Linked DNA regions of Styela clava. The main gene of each other region encodes a partner of the protein of the gene in region 2 in a complex. Links are inferred from orthologs where the notes say so. Each region holds a gene or a part of one and is shown on either strand. Other genes may lie near its edges.

Region 1 (10,397 bases), on a different chromosome or scaffold from region 2:
GTAAAAGAAACAGAAAACAAACGAGACAAACGCGGCGAGTGGAAGATAAAAGAGTGAATACGATATACAATGAGCAACCGGGGCAAAATCGGCGTCGCCCCGTCAACGTTCGGCGAAGGCTTTGCGAGCGAAAAATGAACCATGTCGGGAGAATATGGCTAGTGTAGACAGTCTGTGCAACCGATATTGAGGTATTTTTCGAATATTTTTTATTATACCGAAAAAACAACCGGGGCATTGCCCCGGTTGGCCCTATTGACGCGCCGCCACTGATGAAATATATGGGCATGCTTCGTTGGGGCCAAGTCTTCTATTTATTCTTATTAATAAACAACAAAATCATCTAATTCAATACGTTCCCAGATCATTTCTATTTAGTACAGTGCTCTTCAACCTTTTTGTTATTGCGGAACCCCTGAAATAATTTTTCGTTTTTTATGGAACCCCAATTAACACAATTGAAAAAAAAAAAAATACGAAATACTCGTAACACGAAATATTTGTAATTCAAATATTTCTATTTCAACAACGAAACAGAAAGAGAGTAACAAGCGTGAAATTCGATGACTAGGTTGTTCTTGCATTTCCTTTGCAATCTTCTTGAATCGTGGCTCCACGGCGCTCAATGCAATTCTCATATACTCATGTCTACACTCTTTGCACAAATTATTTTGTTTTTAATAGTTGTTAAAGCAGAAAATGCTGATTCACACAAATAGGTATTAGGAAATTGACACAGAAGTTTTGATGCTTTTTTTGGCAATTGCTGTATCCGCTTTGTGGAGAGAAATCTAAAAAAATTCTTTCTCATGTTTTTGAGGGTATTAAAAAGTCGGGTTGCACACTATTTTTACTATATTCCAACAAAAGCTGAACAACATGTAACTATGGTGCGACAATGGCGTTCTTTTTTTGTTAGTTGCATAACAATGACTAAAGTGACGCAACAACCGAAAATATTTTTCTGCACTGTGACTAAACCTCCTATTCAACAAGTTGGCCTACTTGTAGTTTAAATGAGACACGGTGGTCTAAGAATATTTATAATGACGCATCAACATGCTGAACCAGGAAATGCTTTCCCCTTAAAAAAAAAAACGCGGAACCCCTAAGAAACCTTATAAACTCACGGAACCCACTGCATGTGTTGCGGAACCCTAGGGTTTCGCGGAACCCCTGTTGAAGAGCACTGATTTAGTACCATAAATATGACAATCAGAAAAATTGTGATATAACAATTTGACACGTAACGACTGAATGTGGTTCAACTGGAACACCAGTTGAAATCCACTGCCCGAGGAAACAATAAAACCCCATTTTAACGGTTATACCGTAATAAAACCGTCTTAACAAATTAGGTATTTCATGAGAACGTTTCCCATTATTTGTGTGTTTGATTTCTTCGCTTTCCTCTTAAGAAAAGATAAAATTTTACAATGATATTGCAGACAAAGAGATTTCAGTCTAAATAAATAATTAATAATCCAGATGATATGTAAGGAACAATCGTCAATTATAGAATGAAAGGATTTTTGAAAATTTGAGAACAAAATTACTCTATTTAATTAAGGTTTTTATCCTGTGGCGTTATGCTCAATAATTACTGATGGAAAGAAGATGTTGCGAATGTATTATTAATTAACGCAGGTGTTTTATAATATATATTACCTTGTCGTTTATCCTCTGGCATTGTCAGCCTTGTACAAGATTTGTTTTCCATTGAACATTTTGTTTGCCACCCTGTGATTGAATCAGGCATTTATCTTTTCTCCGTGTACTTGGAAAATGAAAATGATTTTTGGAAACAGAACGGTTACTACAAATCAGATTCTGAACAATGGCAGTTGGAATTCCAATGTATCGGCTACTAACCATACGTTTATGGACATGAATTCAACAGTTGCACCGAGTCCGACGTTTAACTTCAGCCGTGAGGGTTCGAACGATTATGTGGTCAATATAACACTGACGTTATCACAAGCAGTGATAGCAATTCTCTTTTTACTATCATGTTGGATGTTAGCAAGTTTTGTTGTCTACTGTATTCATAATGGAAAATGGAAGAACAAACAAACGACAAGTTTTTTCACTGCAAAACTGTTGTACATTATTTATACTTTAGTTCTAGGCGTCCTAATCCAAAAAATGGTATCCACGCAAGTTTCAATCCAGGCAACTCGGGGTGCAAACTCTTCGTCTTTATGTAAGGCAGTCGATACTGTGTCAAAAGTGTATTACTCCATCATTACATATCTCATTTATTTCTTTTCATGGGTGAGACAAAGAATAATTTATGAAAAAGGAATCTTTTCAGGAAATTATATCTCTCGCCTAAGTTGGGGAATATTTGCGATACTTCCATCAGAATTGATTATAATAATAAGTAAGTTGATTATATTTGATCGCTTGCGGTCAGTACCACAAGGTTGTCTAAATATTAACAACATCGATAACGGAGTCCTACGTATTTTCATGCGCCTTCCGTTGATCGTAGCCCAAATCGCCATTCTTGGCCTGCTTGTTTACGCGGTTGTCAAGAACACCATGGAATACAAATCAAAATATCATGGCTCGAAATGGATCGTACTGTTTTGTGACACAGGAACTTCGAAGTCTAATGAAGTACAAAAAACGATTCGTCGTGTTCTTATCTGGGCATTCGTTGCTGTTATCACGGACGTTATAATTGGTGTGATGAATTTACGATTGATTCCAGAACACTTTCCTGTTTCAATTCGTGCGACAATGGGAGACATAATGTCTTTTGTCAATGTCATTTGCATATCCATGACATTTGAAGACAGATGGCAAATATTGAAAGTTTTTTTCCAGTGGAAACAAAATAAGGTTGCTGCTTCTGACTTGCCAACCAAGCCGACTACAATTCCGCAGACAAAACCAATTTGTTCCAATGCAGACAGACGTATTGGTCCATATTGTGAAGAGACCGTGTAGAAAAACTATATAAATATATATAGGGTTACCATATTTTTTTGACTTCAAAGCGGGACGCCCCCAAAGACACGATCCTTTAGCTGTGATCCTGTAACTTTACAGTTTCCGATTTCACTACATAGGCCTACATTTGAAGCCATCCCGACTGTCTTCATTGACCGCATTGTCATCGAGAGTTCATGCGCATATTCTCTGTCTAAATATCTGGTAGGGTTCGAAAAAATAGAAAGGAATAGACGCTAACGATACAAAAGATCCAAATTTAGATTTTTGTATGTACAGCAAAAAGAATAAAGAAATAGTCTGCCGTTTTCAAGCATTGAGATTTACTTATTCGCCCAAGCATGCTTTTCTGTAGATAACACCTTCAAAAACACGTTCGAACGTCCGAACAGGACCAATTAGAATTGATTTCACACGCGATACGTTCGCTAACAATGTTAGCGGGAAACAACGAAACAAACAAAATAACGTATTAACCTTCAGTACGTAGGCTATCTTTGCGCTACACAGCAACAACAGTAACGAGAAAATGTTCGTGTAATTATGCTTGATGGCTGAACGCCAAAGCGGGACTTTTGACTGACTTGTCGGGAAGGCGGGACAAGACGCTAAAAAGCGGGACTGTCCCACCTGAAGCGGGGCGTATGGTAAGCCTATATATATTGAAAGTCTCAGGACGGTCGGCGCATAAATTGGTGTGGAGATAATTTCAATTGGTACTGCCATAAAGAAATATTGAGGCGGGACTAGATTTATATTTTCAAACCAACTGATGTTGAAGACACAGTTTTCATAGCACTTCATTCATGGCAATTGAACTTTGGTGTCCCGAGGTTGGGTTTTAATCCGAAGTGCAAAGATATTTCAAATTTGTGACAGATTGTATCAAAGTTTTATTCTTTATTCTGTGTGTAGCTTATTATTTGCATGAGATGTTGTGTACGTGTGATTAATTTCTTTACGTACCTAATGTTATTTGTATATGTTTTTGCTTACGTAAATATCAAGATCAATTTTATTTTATATCTTGCTTAATCGGACTCCTATTTCCATCAAAAATAAAATTACACTGGGTGCGATAGCGTGGTATTTACGGTATTGTATGTGACTAGGATGGCATTATATGATGAATATTTAGTATTCAAACAACATGCGCCCGTCCTAATCTTGTTGCAATGAGCCCTTAGGCCACATCCACGGTCGTTTGCACGCAAGCATTGCCAAGACGAATATTTTGTTTATGTTGGTTACATTAAAGTTGGGGATTGTCGCGAGAATTATTGCTTTTTCCGGTACTCCCGTAGTATGTGTATAGACCACCAGGTTAGGCCATAATTTTATTTCGATTTTCCTTATATATTTTAGTTTTAGTACGAGCTCAGGGACTGTCTGTGTTAGCCAAGTGAATATCCCCCCGCCCATAGGTTTCAGTCCCTTTACACATGTGGCGTACCAAAATTGATATCACCACTCAGGTTCTTTCTGCCAGCTTCTTGGACACTGTAATTGCTATAGATGACGATTGTAAATCACCTTCTTGCGGTTCCAACTGCAGCAAAGTAACTAATTTAACTATTTAGATTAATTATACACCTGAAAGAACTTAATACAACCAAATACTCCAATAAGAAATACAATAAACAAATAAAAATACACGGAACACAAAATAGGAATTAATCTATGACGTCACAGTCATGAATTATTGACCTGTAATGGAATATACAAAAACCAGGCAAAACATACCTAGAAATACATACGAATAACTAGTATGACACTAAAAATACAACACCAATCCTATTTTACCGACAAACACTTAATATACCTGGCAATACACATAGAAATACGGATATCACACCGGAACTAAACTGCGAACGTAGACTGGTTACGAAAATGTTAAATACAAGGTAACTAGTGAACAGACTCAGAGCTATGCCAAACTGGGGAAACAGCTAACCTGTAGTACTACTAACAATCTACAACAAGAATTACATAGATACACGGTCATAAAACACTATAATAATAACCTAAAACACAGAGGAAATTCCACACTGCCGGCACTCTGACAAACCAGCAAAAAAGGAAAGATACTCAATTGCTTACTAATGACTCGTTTCTAATGACTCAAGTGGTAAGAATAAATATGGGCATAAAGAATAGAACAGAGTTGTGGACGTGGTCGTCTCACACAACTTGATGTAAAATAGGCGTACAAAATTAGATACTTCCATATTGGTACACATACTTCTGCAGCACCATTTTTCAGCTCATCTCAGCAGCGCCGGATTAACCATTAAACAATATAAGCACGTGCTTAGGGCACAAAGCAAAGAGGGGCACCACAGAAATTTTAGAACAGAATTTTATATAGTTTATCGGTGTTTATTAAAATAGCACTAGTTCACCAGACGACTTAAACTTCAAAATGTTCGCTTATTTTTCGTCTTCAAGTGTCATATTACCTACATTATTAAAAATACACACTGAAACTTTTTTTTACACGAAATGGGCCTTTGAGTCGTTTATTTAAATTGTTGTTGTTTTTTCATTTTAGTATTCTCCTTGTTGCTGCATTTTTGTTTTAAAAAAAATTTTTTCTCTTCAACAATTGGACCAATGAACTATTTACACTCTGTGGCGGTTCCACGATCGCATTTCAACAATCTAGTGGTCAGCGAAATCGGGAGTTTTTTTTGATAAGGTAGACCAGGGTGGTCCAAACCCTGTTATGCTTATACATTCCGTGCGGAATAGCATATATTTGTATCTAATGGAGGAACGTTTTTGAGTTTTTTTAGCTATTCCAACTGGGGTTGGGATCCCGGGATAACGCTTTGTGCCTTTATTTTAGTAAAACCCTCCTCTGTTTCCAAGCGTCGGCCACGTGACAGTAGTGACGAAACGCAGAGCCGACTCAACGCCGCGCAATCCAGTTTTTTTTTTAGCTAGGTCCCGAAATACCAACTTAGACAGACTTGGTTGGTTTTTGACAATAGCACTAAGCTTGCTCACCAAATCTCAACCGCCGCGACCCCTTTCTCTTCAACTGAGCTACTGGACTAATTGCTGTGAAATGTTCAGTGAATAGAGATTGTTGTTGTCACCGAAGGCTAACATTTTTATTTATTTCAAAAATTTCTGTGGGCTCTAACAAATATGGATTTTTATTCAGTCAGACGTCACATGAAAAAATGCACAAAAATTGATACAAAAATAAATATACCATCAACGTCTGTTGTGCGACAAACGTCTTCTTCAAGCAGTCGTGTAAAAATAACTGCATATGCTAAAAATATTGTAGCAATAGTAGTGACGGTGAACAGATTTTGACTCTAATACGTAAATTATTAAAAAATTCACTGCAAACGAAATTTTGCTAAGATATATAATAAAATAAATAAAAGAAAGTGAGAAATGTATACAAATTACAAGGAAAGCAAACAACAAACAAAGAAAAAATGGTTACAGCAATGGCAATTTAAGAACATCGTATATAAAATTAGAAATAGGGGAGTTAATAAAAACTTCAGGAGAATTTGCAACAAAACCTATTCTGAAAACAATATAACGTTTATATAAATATTTAATACATTACACAGAAAATGGTCCTAAAATGGCTTTCGTAATAATTTACCATCTATCAGGATCCTCAATGAATTTTCCGTTAATGACTTTAATCTAATGACTTTGTGTGATCGATAGTCAAAATATTATTGCACCTTCCAGAGTTCTGACAAGAAAAGTTGCAAAAAAGGACATGGCCCATCAAAGAAAATTTGCGACCAATAAAAATTGGAATGAGCTTCATATGTCTCTATCGTCCAATACAGGGGTGTAGTGGAAAGTGGGGAAGGTTGAGACACATTTTTCTTTTACATTTGAGACATACATCTTATCACCAAAATGCTTTAAAAAATGTTTGCCAAGTTTCCCACTGTACTCCACTTGTGGGGCACATTCGGACAGGGAAAAAATGGGAGAACTTCAATTTTGTAGATTTATTATTTTTGAAATCAATGTTCAACCAAAATATTTCATATATTTTTCGAAAAAATTCCGTAAACAAATTAAATTATTTCCTTTTTCGAATCCGATAATATACTTGATTCTTTAATGTATTCCATAACGCAAGAAACATAACGCATCTCTAGGCCTCTAAGCACTTAATGGTTCAAACACTGTCGAATTGTGCCCAGTGGGGCATGTCCCGCTAAACCCCGTTCCATTGTTCTCCATAAAGAAAAACAAATACGTCAGACTTTCCAACGGCGATATTAGGAAAGCACGTCCACTCGCCAACGTTATGAACATTTTACAGTGGACTAAAGCTAAAAAAAATATCAGTCCGTGGTTTGTCATGTTGAAACGGATGAGGTAGAAAAAAGAAAAAAATGGAATGGTGAAATTTTAGTTTCAACCCCCCAAAACCAATTTAACCTTATAGCTTGCGTTGCTCTACACGGCCGTTGTCCGTTTACGGGGACGTTGTAACCCACCGGAGGGCGGATTCAAACATCGAACCGCAGACCGGATATAGTATGAGAGCTGATTTTCCACTATGCCCCATGTCCCAACGTGGCCCACCTTCCCCTACAACCTATTTTCTATAGTCGGTCGCGATTCGTTTCTGTAAAAGGACTAAGACCGCCAGTGATATCGAGATTCTTCATGAGTTAGGTATGTTTAATCAAAGAATTTAATTTGACTGGATAATTCCTTGATCGAAACGAGTTTGAAAATCCAGACGTGAGTATACCCCACACTTGGAAACTATTTGTACCTTCAATTAACCCCGTCTTGAAATCGTTTACACCATTTACTCGAGCCACTTGAAAAAAGTGGTGTCGTTATATTTGGGTCCAAATACGCGTTTCCTCAAAAATAAGACGATCTTATTTCAATTTTTCTTTGAAAAATAACACTGAGCTTCTTTTGGGGGGGAGGAGGGGTGTCTTTTATTTTCATTTATTAAAAACAAAATTACAAAGTAGAGAATTATGAGATTTTTAAATATAAAAAACATGACTATATAGGTCTTATTTTATGGGGGAGGGCTTATAATAAAATCATTTTTAAAATTCAGGCTAGGTCTTCTTTTTTGGGTAAACACGGTACCTTGTTACACCTGTGTTGTATAAGCGTAACATTTTTCATAAAAAAACTTCTACGGGCCAGCTTGAGGCAGTCCCTATAAATAAGCGTAATATTATTAACAGGAACAAATTTGGTTTCAGAAACGACCATTGCATGAAACACAATAACATTGATGCAACTGCTATGATTAGCAATAGTATAGAATGGCAATATTGAACATGTTTCCCAGCCACGAAAAAAACATTTTTTACCGTTGCGTAAAATCTCTGAAAAAGCACACTTAGTCAATATATATTATGTGGACTCCCGTTTATTTCCATCAATAACGTATGAGGCTTTGATATTGCACCAACGTTTTTTTTAATTTTTTATCTTCATTAATAATACAGGGTTATGCCCTTTACAGTTTTGTTTTTAGTCAGTTCTCAATATATCTTAATCAGGTTTGTTGTTTTTCAATTGGTAATTGTTCAGATATTTTTACTTCATTTAATACATCTGTGAGGGCCAAAACAATATCTGGTATCGATAAACTCACTTTGCAATTTTAAACAATTTCAAGTCCTTATGGACACCCAGTATAATCAATATTTCAATATGTAGCTGGATACTCGAAGTTGCAACAAACCGAATCTATAAGTTATCTCGGCTTGGATACACTAGTAGTCTAGTTGTAGGCTAGTTTTCGCAGTTAGCACCAACCAGACAACTCCAATACTAAGTTTATGCTCTGATCATTGTTGATTGGAAACATGTTTAACATTACATTGCATCCGGGTGGGGCCTGAACTCTTGTCTTTACCAGTGATGCGCGTTGTCTCCGTTGGACCTTGAGCGTCGTACCACTTGGTCAGTGCATTTGAACGCTTGCTCTTTCCATTTCTTGGATTGTAAAATCTTATTACTTTTATTATATTTGCAATTAACTTGGAGTCTTAATGCATCCGATATTTGACCCTAAATTTTGCTGTTTTATTTTTATTCATGAGAACACTTTATTCCGTGAAGTTTCGGTATACTTGCACGACGTTTTGTTCGGTGCACAAAATCCCGTGTTTTTGAAAAGACAAATTTTGTTTTATCGAAACATTTTTCGTCGTCCATACTTATCGTGCAGTCGAAATAAACTTCTTGTATCCAAGACGTTTTTTTAAATATATTTTGCATTGGCTATTTTAAAACTAATTGTTCTTTGTACCCAAAACTTAGTTAGGGCTTTTTGGAGACTTATGCTTGAGTTTTATCTGGAGATATCACGCTAAAGAGGTATTCCTTAATTAATGATATTTCAGGTATGCGCGACCTGATGCCCAAAATTTGTAAATTAAAAAAAGCATTAAACTGAATTTGTGTCTAATGGAGAGTTAAGCGCTAATTAGAGCTAAACACATAACGTTTTCATTCTATTATTGGTATTTGTTTCTCACGTGTTTTAAGAAATACTAATTATAATTTATTTAGATCGAAACCTCGTAATCTGATTATTAGCAATATCGCGCAACTAAATTACCATTTAGCCACCGAGATTTATGTTGCGAATACATTATTAAAACTCATTATATTTCATATTAACGGATCAGGCGATCGGAACCGTTAAACATTTATGTGCTGGTGTGCGTGTTTTACTGTAAAATAACGTATGTTTGTGTACTATATTGGAGCTTGACTGTTACGTCTTTGATGGAAAATAAACTAGACTCGAGATTATAAAAGGTAACAGTTGTAAACATCGCTCCGTGTCACTAAGGCGGAAATGAAGTCAAATATCTACATTTTCATATCATTACAAATCGGAATCAAAAATACCCATACGGCAGCTTCTGGAACATGATATATATATAACGATGACGCTACTCGTTGAAAGAGCCAGCTTTTTCGATGGATAATAATTTTTCACGTTAAGCAAAATACATTCACGATCAATGCGAGCATTTAAAATATCTTGTACATCGTGGGCACGAATAATTGTTTTAACTTCGGTAATTATGATATATAATGGCTCAATTTTGGCGGTTTACAATGTCTAAAGTAGCGTTTTTACATCTGGCACGGAATCCTAAAGCAAAAGTTAAGGTGTATTCCGTTCATGTTGTTAATATTTTATACCACAATTTTAAAGTCCCAATATTCACTCCTTATTTTCAGTTGAAAATTTTTAGTTGCAGATTCACACTTTTAATTATATTTAGCGTCTTTATGTCGATGATCGCATAATAACGAGTATTTTGAGATAATTTACCGACATAATATCGATGTTAACGGCCTAAATAACCGCGTCAAGCTGACGAAAACAATCGGCGACGTGAATAACATTAGCGCTGTGAAAACAGCAAGCGTTATTAGCAAGG
Region 2 (9,806 bases):
GCCAGGGCTTGATCTTAGCTCTAGTGCAGAAGTGTTAAAGAGGGGGGGGGTAAGCATGAAATCCACTGATATCTAATAATATATAAGGAGCTTCTAACATTTTGAAAAACCACAATCTTTTCAGTCGGCATCGTCTACCAATTTTAATACCCCGGCCACAGTAGGGTGGGGGAATGGAATTTGAACCCCAAATGCAAAACCTGACAACATAGTCAAGGCAAAAGCTTTCAACTGTCAGGCTACAACGGCCCGCACTGCATTGAGATTAAATATACATAGGAGAAATTAGTTATAAATATAATATTAGGAAAACATGTTGTTAATCTTCATTTTTATAGCATTTTAAAGGTCAAACTCATTAAACATACAATAACTTCTATATGCATTGTTAAACTTTAAATTTGAAATATATTTGGTATTCAATATTTGAATATATATTTTTATGATGTATTGACTCTCTCTATAGGTGAGCGTTAATCCTGTCAATAAATCTTTTCAACCTACCAGCTCTGAGAGCATTTTCTTTCCCTCTGTGTTCTATCTTGTCCTCTCCTTGCAAAGCGTCGATGATTGATTGAAGAAGATGCATTGCAGCGGTAGAAAGCTCATCGTTGCCATTTAGTGATCCCATACAATGACAGATCCTTTCGATTCCAACTTCTCGGAGAATAACGAGAGACTGTAAAATGTGAATAAAATATTTAGCTTTTTAGAAATTTGAAATTATTGCTTTTCGTAACCCCCTCCTCCAGCTCTGAGATTTTACTCATAAACGCCTCATACCCTTCGACAGCACATTCACTTTTGTATTGAAACTCCAAAAAATTATGGCCCTTGCTCTGACAGCATATCAAACTCCCTTCAAAGCCCTGCACAAAATTACTTACCCTAGCCTGGTGGCCATTGCACAGTCCCGACATTGTTCTAATTCCGGCCAGCTTCACATCATTGCTTTTCGAGTCTGTAAGTTCCGCAAGAGCACTCGGACCACCTTCACGGAATATTCGTTCTGCTCCAGCCTCGTCTCGCGATAAGAAAACTAAATTTTCTGCAGCTTTTTTCTTTTTGTCTTCGTCTTCCAAACTTGAGTCGAACAAAATCTTGAACATTTGATTGACTCGATTTTCTGTTGAACGCTCCTCAAACATCTAAAAAATTATTTTTATTTAAATTTTTTCCATTTAGCTCCAGTGTCTCTTGAAGCATAAATATCTTTTACAACAGTGGTTTTCAAACAGTAGGGCACGCCCCCCAAGAGGGGCGTAGACAATTTTTTGAGGGGGCGTAGAGCTAATTACGAATAAACATATTTGTTAGATTTGATCTTGCCCGCTTTATTTGTTTTCAAAACTTTTCATTTATTTCATTATTTACGTTCCATCCATGTATTTTCAACGTGTTTTTCGAATAACCTTTCACCTTACTATCTGTTATTTGTAGCTTATTGTTAGCTAGTTGTTTATGAGGTGGGTCGCGAGACTTGACAAATTCTAAAAAAAGGGCTTGAAAGTTTGAGAACCACTATTTAAAAAGATCCAACCAGGGTGTGAGAAATTAGTAATACCGGAACAAAAAGACTTCGGTTTTTCAAAAATTGTAACTTTCAAATATCATTATATATCAGGACTTACAGTTTAATATACAATATTCAAGTAACCTTCATCATAATAAGATTAGGAAAATTGGGGAAAGCAAAGGATTCACATATGTTTTCTGGAGAACAGAAAAGCTGACAAGACAACCTAATCATATGCTAAACCACGACCTCTCATCTGGTTACCAGTCCATTTCAGGTAGAGGTTTAGCCAGTCATTTTTTCCTTGGAAATAAAAAACTGCAAATCGAAACGACTAAAGTGACTACACTAACCTTAACCTCCATCAGAGTTCTCAAATTTCCACAAACTGAAACAAACATTTTGTTCTTTGGTTCCATTTGCACAAGTCTGCGAGCATCTACATAGGCTGCGTTGAGTTGGCCCAGGTTTTCTAAAGCTTGGACTCGACGAAATAAAGCCTTCGTATCAGAAGGACAGATATTCAGTGCTGAATTAAAATGAAGAAGTTTCAGATTAACAAGAAATAAGATGGGTCACTGGAAGTATTTTTAAATATCTATCCTTGGAAGAAAAAGGTTACTAATTTAATCAGATAATATTCATATTAAATGAGTTATGTGTATGTGTTATGCATAAATAATAATTGATAATGTTATCGAGAATCGTCTAAGGGCTGAGGGTGATAATGCAGATTTCAATGGCACAACTGGTAGTATGGTGTGATGAGGCTTCTTTTTTTTAGGCGAATGGGTAAGCTAAAATAGTTCAATAAAGTTAGATAACTGTCATCTGAAAAAATCAGATAGACTGAATAAATTTCTATGTCTGTCATCCAATCATCTGATCAAGTCTGGGTGGTGATGAGTCTGGTATCAGAAAGTTGAACAAAAAACTAAGCGACGGACTCATGGCAATTATATAAAAACGAAACAGTAATGATGCTAGTTTAGAATCGAAGCTTAAAATAATGAAAATGATATCTTACCACTGGTAGAGTCTTTCAAAGCCTCCTGATAATCTTTCTGTAAAAATATATTGAAATTTGAATAAAATAATCATGAAAGAAATTGTTGTCATGCCAAGCGGTTTATTTCTATAAGCGGATACAATAATTGTGTGAACGTGTGTATAAGTATAATTGCTATATCCACTATATTTCTGAAATCAAGATTCCCGGCCATAGGAAATCAAGATTCAAGGCCATAGGAAATCCAAGATCAGTGACATAAGTAAGCATAAAGTCAGAGACTTTACAAATTTACAAACTAAAGTTTTTCAGACAATTGAAAATTATAAAAGTAAGAATCCTTACTGTTTTCAGATGACATGCAGCACGGTTCTTATACAAAGGCAGTTGATCAGCTTTTTTGTCTGCTCGAGATAACGCCAATGTATAAAGTTTTAAGGCTTCTTTATATTCCTCGGATTTAAAATGCTTATTACCCATCTCCTTGAGTTCTGCTGGACCACTGGTCGATATATCATTTGCCATTTTTGAAAGTTGTTGATAAGTAAAACTAATATAATAGAAATCTAAATTAAATGATAAATCAATAGAATAAAAGGCATAATGTGTGTGATACCAAATGATCAAATTAATAACGTAATGAAACGACAAATTTAAATACAATTCTAACCCTGCATTCAGCTGTAATCATTGTAGCATGACTGACCAGAATAATCTCATCTTGATATGAAAACGGCATTATTTTTGAATTTACACTTTTCGAGGAAGCAAAGTTTGAAACATATCAAAGGGTTGTCCAGCAGGACGAATTAGCAGCATTGGCTCAATTGTGTATGTATGAGATTATTCCGACCAGTGGCACCAAACCTAATAAAATTGTATTAGTAAAATCAAAGGTATGGCAAAACTGTTATCAAGAGACGACTAACAGATTAACATACAATAAAGATGGCAAGTTGAATTAAATACAATATGAAAAATTATGCATATTATCAACTTATATAATCATCGAATAGAGCAAGTTTATAATATAACTGAATAAGACCTTGATCTAAACAAGAGTGTAGGCTACTGCTATTGCATGAACAACCTTATTTGATTGCTACTAGTATTTTAATTGTTATGAGTTAGGATACAGATGAAACTTTAAGACATTTTTAAATCAAAAACTGGATTTAATGACATGTTATTACTGTATTCAGTATTAGTAAGAATAGATATAGAAGTGCACACAATTTTTTGAAATATTTTCCCAAAGCAAGTTTGCACACACTCTCTCGGAAATTAAGAAGGCATTGAACTGAATAAATGGGCAAAAATTATTGCCAGTGGATGTAAATTCTCAAATAATGTTAAGTCAATTGCACTTTTAATTAAACAGATTTGAAAATTGAACCTCATTGTTCTTGATCAATTTAATTAAGGGATGCCAGATTTCAGTCTTCAAACATCATGTTGATCATATCTGGATTGAATAGTTGGTCTTCAACTAGCTTCTTTGGCTCTCCCCACTTCAACAAAGTTGGCACCCCTGACAGCTTCAATTTTGGATGCACTCTGAAATCATTAGTCTTGTTTTTCCAGTAATCCCTTTGCCCGACATGACAATGTACAAAAACAGCCCCTTCTGGCATATTCGGCAAACATTTTTCGATCACAGGGTCCGCTTTAACACAATCTGGACACCAGTTTTTTCCACTTTGCGGGTCAACCGACCCAGAAAATAGACAATAAATCTCTTTTTTCTGTTCCTCCAGCTCTGAGATTTTACTCATAAACGCCTCATATCCTTCAACAGCAATTTGATTGGCCATTTTCAAAGAAAATGCACAAAATAATAAGACAATACTGCGTGTACTCCCAAAATTGTAAAACAGATAAATTACGAACAATTTGGTTTCACTACATTGCGCACGTGAACAGCTGCAACCAGTCATGCGTAACAATACTTATTTGGTATGTTATACTACGTCATATGAATCTATTCGAACTATCGTACGTAACTTTCTGACAGATTGACATATGACCCGGGGGAAAAAACTATTTCGTCAAATATCACCATTTGATTTGCTTAAAATTTCATCTAAATCAGCTTATATTTTTCCGAACCAATCCTAGTGGCAAGAGCTATGCCTTCTATTACGCTAATCGGCCTTAGTTTTAGTTTAGTATTTACTAGTTGTTCTAACTTGTAAAGCGTGGCTGAACATCTGAACATCATTGCTTCGGCCCCGACCGATCGAGACAAAGTCTACCCATCAAAATGTTTGCCCAATGGCCCTTATGCGTAACAAACTGCAGCGAGTATAACCCTCCATTCACTACGAGAGCACTATACGGTACTTCTGACGTTGGGCACCAAGATGTCACACAACTTGAACCCCAACCTGGTACAAAACCTGAGTTCAGGCTGTGAGCCTACTTGGTGCGCATACTTGAGGGGGTCCTACTATCAGTACTATTCTAATATTCCAATGATAATCTGTAGAAGCTAAAAAACACCAAAACAAAACCCTTCCGCTTTACTGTTGTTCTAAGATCAAAAACTGTCGAAGATTTGTAAATCTAAGATATGTTACGAAAAGAACATACAAAATTATATGCGTACGAGCTGCTATCGGCTACCTTTCTCATAACTAACTATATAAAAACTTATCAAGCTTCGACCTTTTATAAGAATTCACTATCGAAAAGGGCCGTAAAAATTGCAAATTTTCGCACGACAAATCAAACGCGCATAGAAAGGCTTCCAGCATCTTCTTTCGCAGTTTCCTCTGATGCAATTTACGATACCATAAAGTGCAATATAGCCGATGCGATGAAACACAGACGCAGCTGTCAATGCGAAGATACCAGCTGATAGCAACTGAAGATTCGAGAATATATCTGTATGACAATAAACTGACAAAATTGGTACAATACTTGCTATAAACTTGAAATTCGTTTATTCATCGGGAAACTTATTATTTTGAGTACATTTTGTTTGACGAAATTCGATTTGGAATTTGGTTTTAACCATTGAGGTGTATATATATAACACCTCAATAGCTTTAAAACCTATCATATAATTTACTACTTTCCGCATGGTGGCGTTTATGAGTTGTTTTATCAATGCAATAATTTACGACATGCAAACGATTGTTTGGCCTTGAAATTTGCTGCCTTTACGGTGGGTACATATAACAAACAAAAAACAGTTATCTTTTAATTGATTTTAGTTTCCATATTAAATCTGATATAACAAACAAATTGTGAGAATAAATACGAATTAGCCGGGTAAAATACCATTTGTTTGTTCGCTTTGGTTGGGCTTCTGTCATGGATAAGCCGATGTTGGATTCCGGGGCGCCATGGAGTGTTGACTATAAATACGCTCTCCTTCGCCATTCGTACGCAAGCATCTTTAACCTTGACATAGTTAGCTATTTTTCATGCACGATCCGTGATATGATTAGCCGCATTTTTATATTGTCCGATCACCATTTTTCGGGACTCCCTTAGTGTGTGTACCGGGTTAGGGTTAGGCAATAATTTTATTCCCATTTTTCATATTTTAGTTTTATTAAAAATTCGGGTACTGTTTGTGTTAGTTAAGTGAATATACCCCCTGTCTATAGGCTTCAGTCCCTTTACACAACTTGCTAAAAGTAGGCGTAAAGTAGGCGAACAAAATTACTTACCTTCATATTTGTACACACACTTCTGGAGAGCCCATTTTTCTCCTTCACGAAAATCCTATCTATGCAATTTTGAACATTTTGATCGTAGATAAAAAAAATATCAGAAATGTGCTTTTCTCGCACAAAGCAGAACAATATCACATTTCTGAACATATTTTGACAAAAAATGGCAAACTAAAATACTTCAAAATCAAACGTGCAAATGATTCTGAAATCGATACCTAACTTGGCGCCGAAGCTCGTCACGCCATTGCTAGAAACTTGGCATTGACCCTAATGTCTGAAGCCATTTCATGGTTTATCTTACCCGTAACCTTTGACCCCTGACCTTTACAGTCTACTCTTTATTTACTTAAGTAAATCATGCATGGCGCTCTTAACCCCAGTTTCGCTAAGTAGTCCCACCAAGTGAAATGTACACAAAGAGGTCGTCTCCAGTGCAACCCTTGTTTTCTAAGCCCGTAATCCCTTAAGCATACTCGATGAAGGTTACTGCGTTATTTGATGCATTTGGCTTCCGTTAGCGGTGTTGAATTTAGCAACGACCGTCAAGAACGTTTGGTTTTTGTTTTTGATTAATTTTCCTATTTTTACTGCTAGTTATTCAAAACTGAAATCAATTTGGTGTAGTCTCAACCGTGCAGGGTATTTTCGAGCTTGGTTTTTGTCAATAAGATTCTCCTATAACAATATTATCATCAGTTTTTAAATTTAAATCGAACACTTGAACACATCAAAAATATTGAACTTCATATCTGTGGTTATTTAAGCTTTTGAAAACTTAAATGAATAATATTTCGAGTCGATTGTGTTAGATATTCAATTGTTAACTATTAAAAAACGGTTATCCTGTTCATTCTGGGCAAAGGCATATTTGTATATATTTTTAATTTTGCTTTAATTAACTTTGTTGTGCCCGTTTGCCTGGATGGCTAATAAAAAACGATTTGATGGATTGACTGATTGAATTTGGTCATATATATAGCCTTAATCGTTGAGGGGTATTGAAAAAATAAATTGCACACCCGGGTATTCTAATAATAATTTCGGTACAATATTGTAAGTTATTTCTTTTTGGATCTACTCGACGTTCAGATGAGCATTATTAAATATTTACTGCGATGAAATTAAAATCTATCGTGAGCTCAATTTTACCTGAGGTATTGGTAATGAATAGGGAGCCAACATAATTTTTCTTCTTCTTCTCATTTTCCATGTTTTTTCCAATTTTTTACAATTTTTAGAAATTAAATGAAGGATTTTCGTTAACAGTATGAGATTTCGATTACACAAAAACATAAACCCCAGACAAACTCACATTTAATTTATTTCTTGATCTATTCGATGCTATCAATTTTGTTCATATTTATCCACTGTAATACTTTTCCATCCAGTTAATCCTTGCTAAAATGTTTAAGCAGTCGGGTCATAAGTTCGTACTAAGTTTTTGTTCAAAATCGAAAGCTACCTAAAGTGGATTTTAGGATTATTTTTAATCCGTTCAGTCAATAAACGGTCGTATTTGAAGATTATGGCTAATGATTTTCAGCCTAACGATTTTCAAAGTATTTGAAACAGCAGCTTCACGATAATTCGTTAATTATTTTTAATATACAAGTCCGAAGGGTATTGAAGACTCGTCTTTTTGAGGTCTATATGAGCACAGGGGCATAACCTATGGTTGCGGATCGAACACCCAGAAATGCTAAATGATAAAGTTTTATTTTAACTCATATGTTTGGTCCCTTGTACATACTAAGAATAGGGATTTCTAATGTGTACCCTTCAGATACGAATTAGGCTATTAAGCTATTTAAATTCCAGTGTATCTGGAACTGTCGTTTTTATGAATGAGTATAGAGTTACCCAAAACTACGAATTCCCTACTACTAAACAGTTTTAATATAAACAAAACAATATTTTTTTCATTTATCTTTTATGGGGATATTTCAGCGTGTATCATTTGGAAACGAGGAACTTGGTTTACCCAGATTTGTTGAATTCATTCTCATTCGCAAGTCGTTTTTAAATGTCTTGCAGTAAAGAGTCGTATGTAAAGTTTTCTCGACTACACAGCCTGGTATCAGGTACGCAAAATAGCAACGAAACAATAAATGACAAAATTTTATTTTAACGCATATGTTTGGTGCCTTGGACACACTAAGGATAATAATATTAATAACAATAAAACAACAACAAGACGATTTAGCTAAAAATAAGACATAAATTCTTGAAACTCAGATTAATAAGGTAAAATAAGATTCCTTGACATATAGAGCAAGGATAAGAAAAAAATCAGATGTCATCACTTGGGGGCAAGTAAAAATAATAGAGAAATATCAACCTAAGGGGATGAAAGATGAAAGCCGATTAGAGGGTATTCCCGTAGTGTGTGTACCAGGTTGAGTTAGATTTTCCTTCTTTTAGTTCTGATACGAGTTCGGGGACTGTCTGTGTTTTCAAAGTCCACATGCCCATAGATTTCAGTCCCTTTACACAACTTGATGTAAAGTATGCAAACAAAATTAGTTACCTCTATATTGGTACACACACTTCATGAGCGCCAATTAGGCAGCTTAATCGTACGAATTGTGAACCGGTTATTAATTAAATTAAATTCAAATATCTTGAATCGCAATTTCACAAAAGAGCAGTAATTAGCCGTGGGCTTCTCTAAAAAACCATATACATATAACAATATGTGTCCTAAATTTGTGAGCACTGACTTTGAAATTGTTGTTGAAAAGTTGTTTTTAAAAATACTGCGTTAAGTTGGATAAAGAGCAATGTTAAAAACATATGTTGTAGCTGTTCAGTGAATATATTTTTTTTTCTGAGTTCCGTCAGACGCCAAGTTTTTCAAAATCTTCTTTGATGGATGAATGTTTGAATAGAAGGGGTGCTTTCAAGTTGGATAAAAGATTGTAAGGTTTAATATCGCCTGGTAAATGATCAGAGTGTATATATATGCCTTTCAGAGTTAAACAGACGAAAAACATGTCTGAACATTCGATGGAATACTTTCTAGATGTCTAAATTTTTGTAAATTCTGCCCAGGAAATCCGATACTTCGGTGAGCATTATATTGTATACTGTTTTTCAAGCAAATGTCAATCAAGCGTGACTGGCAGAATATAAAAAAAAACATACATAGTTATTTCTATCACGTGAAAATAAAAAGAAAATTGGAACATAATAATTGTTCAACCCCCTCATTTAACAAAAAAATAGTGCTATTGATGACGTAATTTATTACATCACAGTAAAAATGCTTCTGTCGACTTTAGTGTCTCGTAAGTGTGACGTCACAGTATTAAGTCTGTTGCGTCACATATACCGTGACAACGAACACCTTTCGTTTACATACAATAAAATATCTTTGTTACGTCATAAAATGAATAATTACACTGCCTTCTTTAGATTATTACCTCACACAAACTATAATGTTGGTTTAACAATGATTAAAAATGCAATGGAAAAGGCGGGAAAAATGATTTAAAATACAAAAAAAATATGCGGGAAAAATAATGCAGGAATTTTGCTCGTGGTATTTAGGCAGTGGTGACTATCTGCAACTCAAAATATATTTCATATTTAAACA

Evidence for each region.
Region 1: the proteins of protein unc-45 homolog B-like (region 2) and heat shock protein HSP 90-beta-like are in contact, whole or in part, in a crystal structure (PDB 4I2Z), measured with the Caenorhabditis elegans proteins. The link is inferred for Styela clava from reciprocal best matches to the Caenorhabditis elegans genes unc-45 and hsp-90. Residues at the interface, in NP_497205.1 of Caenorhabditis elegans: Arg12, Asn16, Val19, Tyr31, Val48, Arg51, Asn52, Met55, Lys59, Val81, Lys82, Phe85, Arg86, Asn113, Asp114, Ile117; in NP_506626.1 of Caenorhabditis elegans: Ser696, Arg697, Met698, Glu699, Glu700, Val701, Asp702.

Annotation. Positions count from the first base shown.
Region 1 is NC_135251.1:21,554,556-21,564,952, forward strand, and holds the start of heat shock protein HSP 90-beta-like, read right to left. Parts: upstream 4,585-10,397; 5' UTR 4,561-4,584; intron 1-4,560. UniProt on the Caenorhabditis elegans protein: Molecular chaperone that promotes the maturation, structural maintenance and proper regulation of specific target proteins involved for instance in cell cycle control and signal transduction. Undergoes a functional cycle that is linked to its ATPase activity.
Region 2 is NC_135264.1:16,277,430-16,287,235, forward strand, and holds the start of protein unc-45 homolog B-like, read right to left. Parts: upstream 3,960-9,806; 5' UTR 3,051-3,959; coding exon 2,871-3,050; intron 2,581-2,870; coding exon 2,544-2,580; intron 2,046-2,543; coding exon 1,870-2,045; intron 1,149-1,869; coding exon 888-1,148; intron 680-887; coding exon 505-679; intron 1-504. Other genes in the region: thioredoxin domain-containing protein 17-like, read right to left, coding at 3,962-4,339.